Linked DNA regions of Sus scrofa. The protein of the gene in region 2 purifies or fractionates together with the protein of the main gene of each other region. This does not show direct contact. Links are inferred from orthologs where the notes say so. Each region holds a gene or a part of one and is shown on either strand. Other genes may lie near its edges.

Region 1 (4,186 bases), on a different chromosome or scaffold from region 2:
AGGGCACCCTAGATTTAAGGAAGCACTGAGAATGCCAACTTTGCCAGTTACAAAAGGACAAATATTGTATGATTCCATTCATATGAGGTACTTAGAGTAGTCAAATTCATAAAAACAGAAAAGAGAATGATAGTTGCAGGGGTAGGGGGAAACTATGAAAGTAGTTAGTTTCAGCTGGGGAAGGTGAAAAAGTTCTAGACATGGATGGTGGTGATGGTGCACAACAATGTGAATATATTTAATGCCACAGAACTGTACATTTAACAATGGTTAAAATTGTAAATTTTATCTTATATAACCTCTCTAACGCTGTTTCTTCTTCTGCAAAATGGGCTTAATAATAGTACCTAATTCATATACTTGCTGAGGACTACATGAGATACTTACAGAAAGTCCTTAGTCCAGTGACTGCTACATGCAAATTACTTAATAAATGTTAGCAATTATTCCTACTATTACAATGTACTTTCATAGCCATTTCTCATAGTCCCCACACAACCCTGTGACAGTTAAGAGATAAAGAAACTGAGGATCGGAGAGCCAAATGAATGGCTGAGTTCATGCTGCCACATCAAATCAAATCCTTTGCCCATAAGAGATGTCCTGTCCTCACCACTTGTTTAATTTGGTGGTAAGACAACTGCCCTAACCATATTACGTCTTAATTCTCAATTAGATCTGTAAAAAGGAGATATAAAACCAACCTCCGCAAGTTCCCTCACAGAACTGGATGAGAAATGAAATTAGATAATGGTTACAAAAAAGCACTACAAACCATAAATAACGTACTATACAATAAAAGTGGTAACTTATGAGAACTAATAATATACCTGTGCATAAAACCTGGCCTTTTAATGCTGGGAGTAAACAACTTCCCTGTGATTTCAATTTACTCAGCATTCCTGGTCTTAAGGCCTTCCTTCCTTTCAAAAGGTGGCAGGGGTTCCGCTGGTGGCACAGTGGGTTAAGGATTTGGCATTTGTCACTGCAGCAGCTCAGGTCGCTGCTGTGGCGTGGGTCAGATCCCTGGCCCAGGAACTTCCCACATGCCACAGGCGCAGCCAAAGGAAAAAAAAAAAAAAAGACCAGATAAGACCCCTTCCAGACCTATATACAACTCTTAAATCCAGAATCTTGGAAATAGGAGAACACAGCCAATCTCCGCACTCCAAAGAACTAATGCTAACATCAGGAGACTCCTCAAGACCTGGCCTAGGAACTCCCTTGCCTAATCTTTAAACACCAGAGATGAAATACATTGGAAATCTAGAACACCTGCCAAAGTCAACTTTAGTTCACTTTGACCCTTCTGGGCCTTGCCTGAAAATAGGAGAAATAAATCCCTATTTGAAGGCAGGGAGCTGAAACGGTTGACTAGAGCCACTTTCTGCTCCCTCTCCCCTACACTATTAGATTTTATAGTGTTAAATCTAAACACTATAGAGGACAAGCAAGGTTTGGTGGGGAGGAACATGCCACAAACAAAATAAAGGACGCAGCTCACTGCTTTAAACGGCTTAGGCCTTCCTTGAACCAAACCCCCAGGGAACTTCGGCGCTTGAGATCTGGAGTCGTTAGCATCCATCAAGTTCTAACGGGCAATATTAGCAAGAAATTCATAGCAACTTCCTTTCCCTCTTACCTCCCAAAGATCAAGAATGGCATTTCATCCATAGTGGACACTGGTCTCTCAACTAATGGTGTGACCCAAAGATTAAGTCAAAATCCCTTCTGTAACTGAGAGATTTCACAAGCTCGCACTAAGAAATAAATAACAGGTACTAGCACCACGGCTTTACACTTCTGTGCCTACTAACTGTAAATTGGAACACATTATTTAACCTTTCTGCGCGTGGATTTCTGCTTGTGTAAATGGGGATAACCCCAGAAGGCCATTGTGAGCATTCAATGAAATAAGACTTAGGAAGTTCCCGAGTCAAGTCCATTAAATGTTACCTGTTGGTAGTAAACACTTCCCTCAAATATCTGTTCTCTCCCTGAATCCACAATCACCCTGCGAAGCGACTTTCTTTCTCCTTTTGCACTGAGAAGCGAACTGAGGCCAAAAGGCTGCGTGCGTGAGGTGCGGAACACGGCCCCGGTCTTGGGCCTGCTGTTGTTCCTCCACAAGCCCTGGGTGTGCAACGAGCCCAGGACCGAGGAGGCGCTCAGGCCCGTGGGGAGCGAGGCGGGACCAGTTTTGCGCGCCTCCGGGAGCCCGCAAACCTTGCCCGAGAGGGAGAACCGGAAGAAGCTCGCGGCCGGAGCCAGAGCCCGGCCCGCCCAAGGCCTCCCCAGCGCGGCCTCCGCTCCCCCCTCCTCCCCTCGCCGGGCGGGGCGGGGCGCGAGCACAAAAGACTCCAACTTCCAAGCGGGCGCCGGCCCACCCCGCCAACTCCTGGCCCAGGCCCGGCCCGCGGGGAGATGGCGGGGAGGGAACGCCAGGGCAGCCGGGAGCGGGCGCGGGCGGGCCGGCGACCCGGGGCGGCGAGCCCGGGTGGAGGGAAGGTGCGGGGGGAGGGGGCCGGGAGTTACTCGGGCTCCCGGGACTCCCCGAATGGCCGAGAAAAGAGTTTCTAAAAATAGGCGACGGCCCGCGCCAGGAGGTAGGTGACCAAAAAGGAATAAGGAGCACCCCCTCCCCGCACCTTTAAGAAGACGCCCGCGGCCCCCACTCACCCGCGCACGGAGGTCTGGAGGAAGCCGCGCGGCGCTGAAGGAGGCGGTACCGCCGCACTCGGGGGCGGGAAGGAAGGAGGGAGAAGGCGGCCCCGGCCGCGGCGTGAGGAGCTGAGCACAGGCACGCGAATCGCCGCTGCCGCTACCGCCCCCTCAGCTTCTCTCTGCTCAGCCCACCCCGCAGCCGCGCTGCTCGCGCGCCCCGCCGCACTGACAGCCGCGCGAGCCCCGCAGCCGCGAGTCCTTCCCTCGGCCAGCACCACTGAGGCGCGCGGGGGTAGGGGAGCACGGAGCGGGCTCCGCGCCGCCCGCCGCTCCGGCCGTGGCCCAGTCGCCCTCTTCCCCCGCCTCTGTCTCCAAAGGGCACGGCGACTCAAGCGCGAGGAGTCCGTAGCGTCGCCCTGACACAGCCCGGCCCCCCACGCGCAAGGGCTCGTCCCACCTCTCCAGTCTAGCTTTGGAAAGGTCCAGAGCTTCGGCGGGGAGAAAAGGAAGGCGGGGCCAGGGCGGGGCTTGATGGGGAGGAGGGACAGAGATGGGAGGTTGGGGAGGCGGAGCTAGGGCGGAGAGAGACTTGCTTAAACCAGTATGAAGCGGAAGGCGGGGCAGGGCGGAGAGGGTGATGATGCCAGAGAGCAGAGACGCGCGACACAGGTATGGAAGACAGTGGAGGCCTCGCAGAGTGGAGAACCCGGGCAGTGTGTGAGAGGAGGGGTGTGGGCGGGGCTAAATGGAGGTTTGCCCAAAGGAGACGTCAAGGGTGGAGGGAGGCCCGGCGAGTCTGGGGGAGGAGAGGCTCTTAGAGGAGGGGTCTGGAGGCGGGGTTGAAAGAAACCCAGTACCCGAGGAAAGATTGAAGCCGGGCAGAAGGAGGCGGGCCCGGAAGCCGAGCCGGGAGAAGGGGCCCAAAGGTGGCCACTCTGGGAAGGAGCCGGAAGGAGGCGGGACCGAAAGGGTGACCGGGGGTGTGTGTAGGGCTGGGACTGGAGGTGGGCGGGGCCTGAAGACGCGGCCCAAACAAGTTGGCGGTGGGCAGTGCTCGAGGGATGCGGAAGAGAAGTAGGAAGGAAGGCAAGGTCCTTTCACTTACAGGGAACCTGGTGTGTGCACTGGGCGAGGATCCACGCTGCCAGTTGGGTCTGGGAGAAGACACTGTCATGAGGACGTGTCTGGGGAGGACCTGAAAAAAGGTTAAATTCAAATAACTTTACCCTTTTGGAAATTTTTTGTAACTTGATGTGGGTCTGGATGTGTGTCCTCCCTCCTAAATATTTCTCCTGTGAGAACTCTCACCTAGATCCGTGTTCTAGCCTCCACTGTGAGGACAGTAAGACCTTCAGCCCTCAGCTATAGACTTGCATTGTCCGGCCTATTATTGTATTTTTCCCATCACATCCCCCAAAACCTGCCTAGGAGACGGGATTTCCCCAGCACTGGACACAGTTTGAAATTAATCCTGCCCAGACCAGCCATTATAGCTACACTTGTGTAGTTTGATAACCTCTGA
Region 2 (4,195 bases):
GCTGCTAGGAGCTGGCTGCTGGCCATAGCCAGGGTATGAAGACTGCTGCCCGTAAGACGATTGAGAACCCTGGCCACTACCATAGCCACCAGTTGAGCCATATCCCTGGGGAGCTGACTGTGCGCCATAGCCTGCTACGAGAAAAAGAAAAAAAGTCATGAATTGAGGAATGAGAATAGGTTGATGAAACACTGTATACATCCCTAATGCTACCTACACCTGAAGCCAGCCTCTTGAACCACCGCCAATCACAGCCCAAGAGATCCCTCTCCTTTAACAGCATTTAACCAGCCTGTGATGTACATCTCAGATTATTTACCCTTCAGCACCTAAGGGCAAATTCCACCTCTTTGTGTATCAATGTGATATACAGTATGCTGATTTCCAACGTCTTCAAGCAAATCATTTTCTCCTTTTATTTTTTTTTATGCTTTTTAGGGTCACACCCACAGCATAGGGAGAGTCCCAGGCTAAGGGTCGAATTGGAGCTGCAGCAGCTGGCCTACACCAAAGCCACAACAGGATCACACCCAAGTTGCGTCTGTGACCGACACAACAGCTCACAGCAACGCCAGATCCTTAACCCACTGAGCAAGGCCAGGGATCAAACCGGAAACCTCATGGCTCCTAGTCGACTTGTTTCCGCTGCACCATGATGAGAACTCCCCATTTTCTCCTTTTAAATATCAAAAACTTAAAACTCTTTTCCCTTTAGGGAATATTCTTCCCCAATTTCACTTTCATTCTTAGGGGAAACAGGGAGAAGTGCAGCATAAATCAAAAAATGCAAAGTCAAAGAAAATAAAAGGAAACAGAATTAAGTACTTGGAAAGAACTCAAACTCTAAGTAGCTTGAAGGATCACAGACTGGTTAAGGGCAAAGAAACTGGGGGACAGTTTCAACAGTTCAGCACTGCTTAGGTTTAAGAAAAGCAACATTCAGAAAAAGCAGGAAGAGGAAGGGTGACCCACTTAAAAAGACTCACTGTTCTGGGTCTGTCCATAAGAACTGCCATAGCTGCTCTGGCCATAGCCTGAAGTGTCCGCTGACTGGCCGTAACCGCTGTAACTCTGCTGTCCGTAGGGCTGGTTGCTCTGCTGGGAATAGCCCTGCCCAGGCTGGGTGGGGTAGGCCCCGTAGCTGGAGAAGAAAAGGCAACAACGGTGCTCTCAGGAAAAGACACCTTAGCCACCCTTGCCCCCTACAAACTCTGGAAACCCAGAAATGACACTCACCTTTGGGTTGCTTGTTGGGTATAGTCTGCAAAACAGAAAAATACAATCATATTAACATTACCTTCAGCCACCCCTAAGAGAACAAACTAGAGGTAAAGGCCTCAACTCAAGCCCCAGAGCCCCTAGATGTGAAAATTGACAAGGCAGAAATCCCCTCCTGAAACCCTAGTTGAGAGGGGCAAGACGGCAGACCAAAGTCAAGTTTTCTCACAATAAAGACACACCAAAAAAGCGAATTTCTACCGAGACCAAGAGGCCTTAAGTACTGGAAAAAGCAAGAGTCCTGGTGGACAACTACCATTTTTCTGCAACTTCAACTGATATCCGGAACTGCACAAACTGACTCACATGTTTTCACACCCACTCTATGAGGAAGGTATCCCCAAGAGTCCAACTGAAGCCACACAGCTGCTTGAGCAGAACAGGCTTTATTGCAAGCCAGAAGCAAAAACGTTCCGATTGTAGCCTGCACTTTCTCAACCCAAAGAAAGTCTCAAGATCTGGAGAGAGGCCACCCTCCATCCAATCTTGGAGACAGGAACAGGGGGCTTTTAGTGCAGAGCCAGCTCACCAAGAAGGGAGAATTCTTTGACCCCAAACGACAGAGATCGCCATCAAAGAGCGGTCGCCTCGAGAGGCAAGCCGACTGGTACTCAGGTCCTCAGCCCTACGGCTCCCAACGAGTTCCTATCTCCCCTGCCTGCCTCGGGGCTGCGGGGAGACTTGGCGAATCCAAGGTAACGAAAACGCCACAAGGAAGACAGCACAAGCCTGATCAACTCATCTCGATACAGGAAACAGCTTTCCCCGCAGGAAACGGCAAAAGGATCGGGAGAGGGTGTGGCCTAAGGCGGCCGTTCCTTTCAGTTCCTACCTCCCAAGGAGGAAAATTTAGGCGGGAAAAGCCTCACCCGGTCCCCAAGTCCGTTGGACCACCCCCTAGCCCCCCACCCCTAGCCGTTAAACGGGCGCGCGGTCCCGATCCAAAGCCTCCGCCCCCAGCCGCGTGGCACGCGAGGCGGGAACGAGGAGGTCCCGCCCCTTCCCGAGGGACCCCGGGAGCGAGGCCCACACCGGACGAGCGCCGCGGAGCTGCCGGTGGAGGGTCTCGCGACAAAAAGCAGGGCCGACACGAGGCGGGAGGGGGGTTCGCGCCGCCAGAAAAGGGGGGAGGGGCCAGTAGAGCGCGTGCGCGCACCGAGTGCCCGGATGCAGCACTGCGACAAAGCGGGCCCGAGCGCGGGGCTGGAGACGCGGAGGAGAGAAGGCTACGGGGACCAAGCATTTCCATCCGCGTCTCACGTCCCCAGTCACCAAGAAGAGTTCCTCCCAACCCTCACCTAAAGGAAAGGGGCTGCAAAGGGAAGACCTCCCGCCCTGCGCGAGGCGCCAGCGGAGCGAAACAAAATGGCGACATCGGCCTCCCCCTTCCACCCCTCTCCGCTGCTTCCCGCCAGTGGTGCGGAGAAGATCCTACATGCGATCGCTGCCCGGGCCCCACCGAGAAACAAAAGCCCAACTGGGAGCTTACGAGCTCCAGGGCTGGCGCGCCACCGCCGCCTCGCGCACTTACATACCGTTTGAGGCCATGTCCGCGCACGCGCGCACAGGCCGGCAAGCAACAGAATTCCAACACCGCTGAGCACCGACGCCTCGAGGACTGAGCAGCCCCGCCTCCTGCGTCGAGGTTTATGTACGCCTCCCCCGCCTACGTATCCTGGGGGAATGCACCAAATGCGGAAAGGAAAAGGGGAAGCATGGCCGGACTCCTGCCGCCCTTCAGGGAATATATAGGGTCCTAGCCGGCAGAACATAATTGTTATTCACTAAGAACCATGCAAATAATATATATAGCCTTATTTTTTCTGAGAAATAATTTATATTTTCTCTGAAGGACGAGCCAAAGATTCACTTCCACCCCTATAAGATCATAATGGTACAGTCCGATTACCCTCTGGGGGCGGGGCGAGGGGCCTAGGGCGTCTGCGGGCGGAACTGTAGTCAAAGCCGGGAGTCGTGGGGCGGGAACCGAAATTCCTCAGGCTGGCCCCTTTCGCTGGGCCTCACTTTCACTCCGGATAGCGAGCTTCTCCGCTCCACTGCCCTTCCACTGCATCAGATGCATCCTCCCTCCCGCGCCAGCCTCCCTCTCTTGGTTCTAACGTCCCTCCCCCGACCACACACACTACCTTTCTTCGTCTTGGTTTTCACTCATCGTCTTTCAGGGTTGTCCTTACCAGGGCTTGTGGATTGTGACGTTTGACGTGAAAGCAAGCATGGAGTTTAGCTCGGACCCCTGGGTCCTGTTTTGATTAAGCATTTATGGCCCACCTACAACCTCAAAGCTTGGCTTCTGACTCGCTGTTGGACAGAAAAGCCCAAACAATCCGGAGATTGAGATTATATCAGGGTTCTCCCAGCCTTTTGCTGATAAAGGGCTGGGAGTATTTTCCTGAAACCCTACGGAGGAATCAATGTGCAGATCCAACAATAATTGATATTTGTATAGGGCTGAAGTGGCTTCAGAATGCACAATTAGAGAGTTCTCTCAGGGCACAGTGGGTTAAAGATCTGGCGTTGTCACTACTGTGGCTCAGGTGGCTGCTGTGGCAAGGGTTCACTCCCTGGCCCCAGAACTTCTGCATGCAGTGGGCGCGGCCAAAAAAAAAAAAGCCCAATTAATTGCTTTTCCATCACAATCTTACGAAGAAAGATAGCAAGGCTATCTTTTATACACCAAAAAAATGAGACTCAGGCCAAATGCAATCTATGATTATGGAACAGCCAAATGTAAGGGGTCTAATTCGAATCCAGGTCTGTGTGGCTGCAAAATACTCCTTTTGTTAGTTATACAGACATTTTGAAGTGTTCTGAAGCTTGTTCACTCCTTATGAGAAAAAGGACAAAACATGAAATTCAAATTAACTTGCAACTTGCACTCTCATCAGCCTTGCCTGGA

Evidence for each region.
Region 1: the proteins of FUS (region 2) and RALY purify together in Homo sapiens (affinity purification with mass spectrometry; 3 studies listed by BioGRID and IntAct, with this or other methods). This does not show direct contact. The link is inferred for Sus scrofa from reciprocal best matches to the Homo sapiens genes FUS and RALY.

The regions. Positions count from the first base shown.
Region 1 is NC_010459.5:37,446,822-37,451,007, reverse strand, and holds the start of RALY (RNA-binding protein Raly), read right to left. Parts: upstream 2,811-4,186; 5' UTR 2,680-2,810; intron 2,267-2,679; exon of another isoform or gene 1,957-2,266; intron 1-1,956. UniProt on the Homo sapiens protein: RNA-binding protein that acts as a transcriptional cofactor for cholesterol biosynthetic genes in the liver. Binds the lipid-responsive non-coding RNA LeXis and is required for LeXis-mediated effect on cholesterogenesis.
Region 2 is NC_010445.4:17,323,740-17,327,934, forward strand, and holds the start of FUS (RNA-binding protein FUS), read right to left. Parts: upstream 2,827-4,195; coding exon 2,814-2,826; intron 1,262-2,813; coding exon 1,237-1,261; intron 1,142-1,236; coding exon 987-1,141; intron 135-986; coding exon 1-134. UniProt on the Homo sapiens protein: DNA/RNA-binding protein that plays a role in various cellular processes such as transcription regulation, RNA splicing, RNA transport, DNA repair and damage response. Binds to ssRNA containing the consensus sequence 5'-AGGUAA-3'.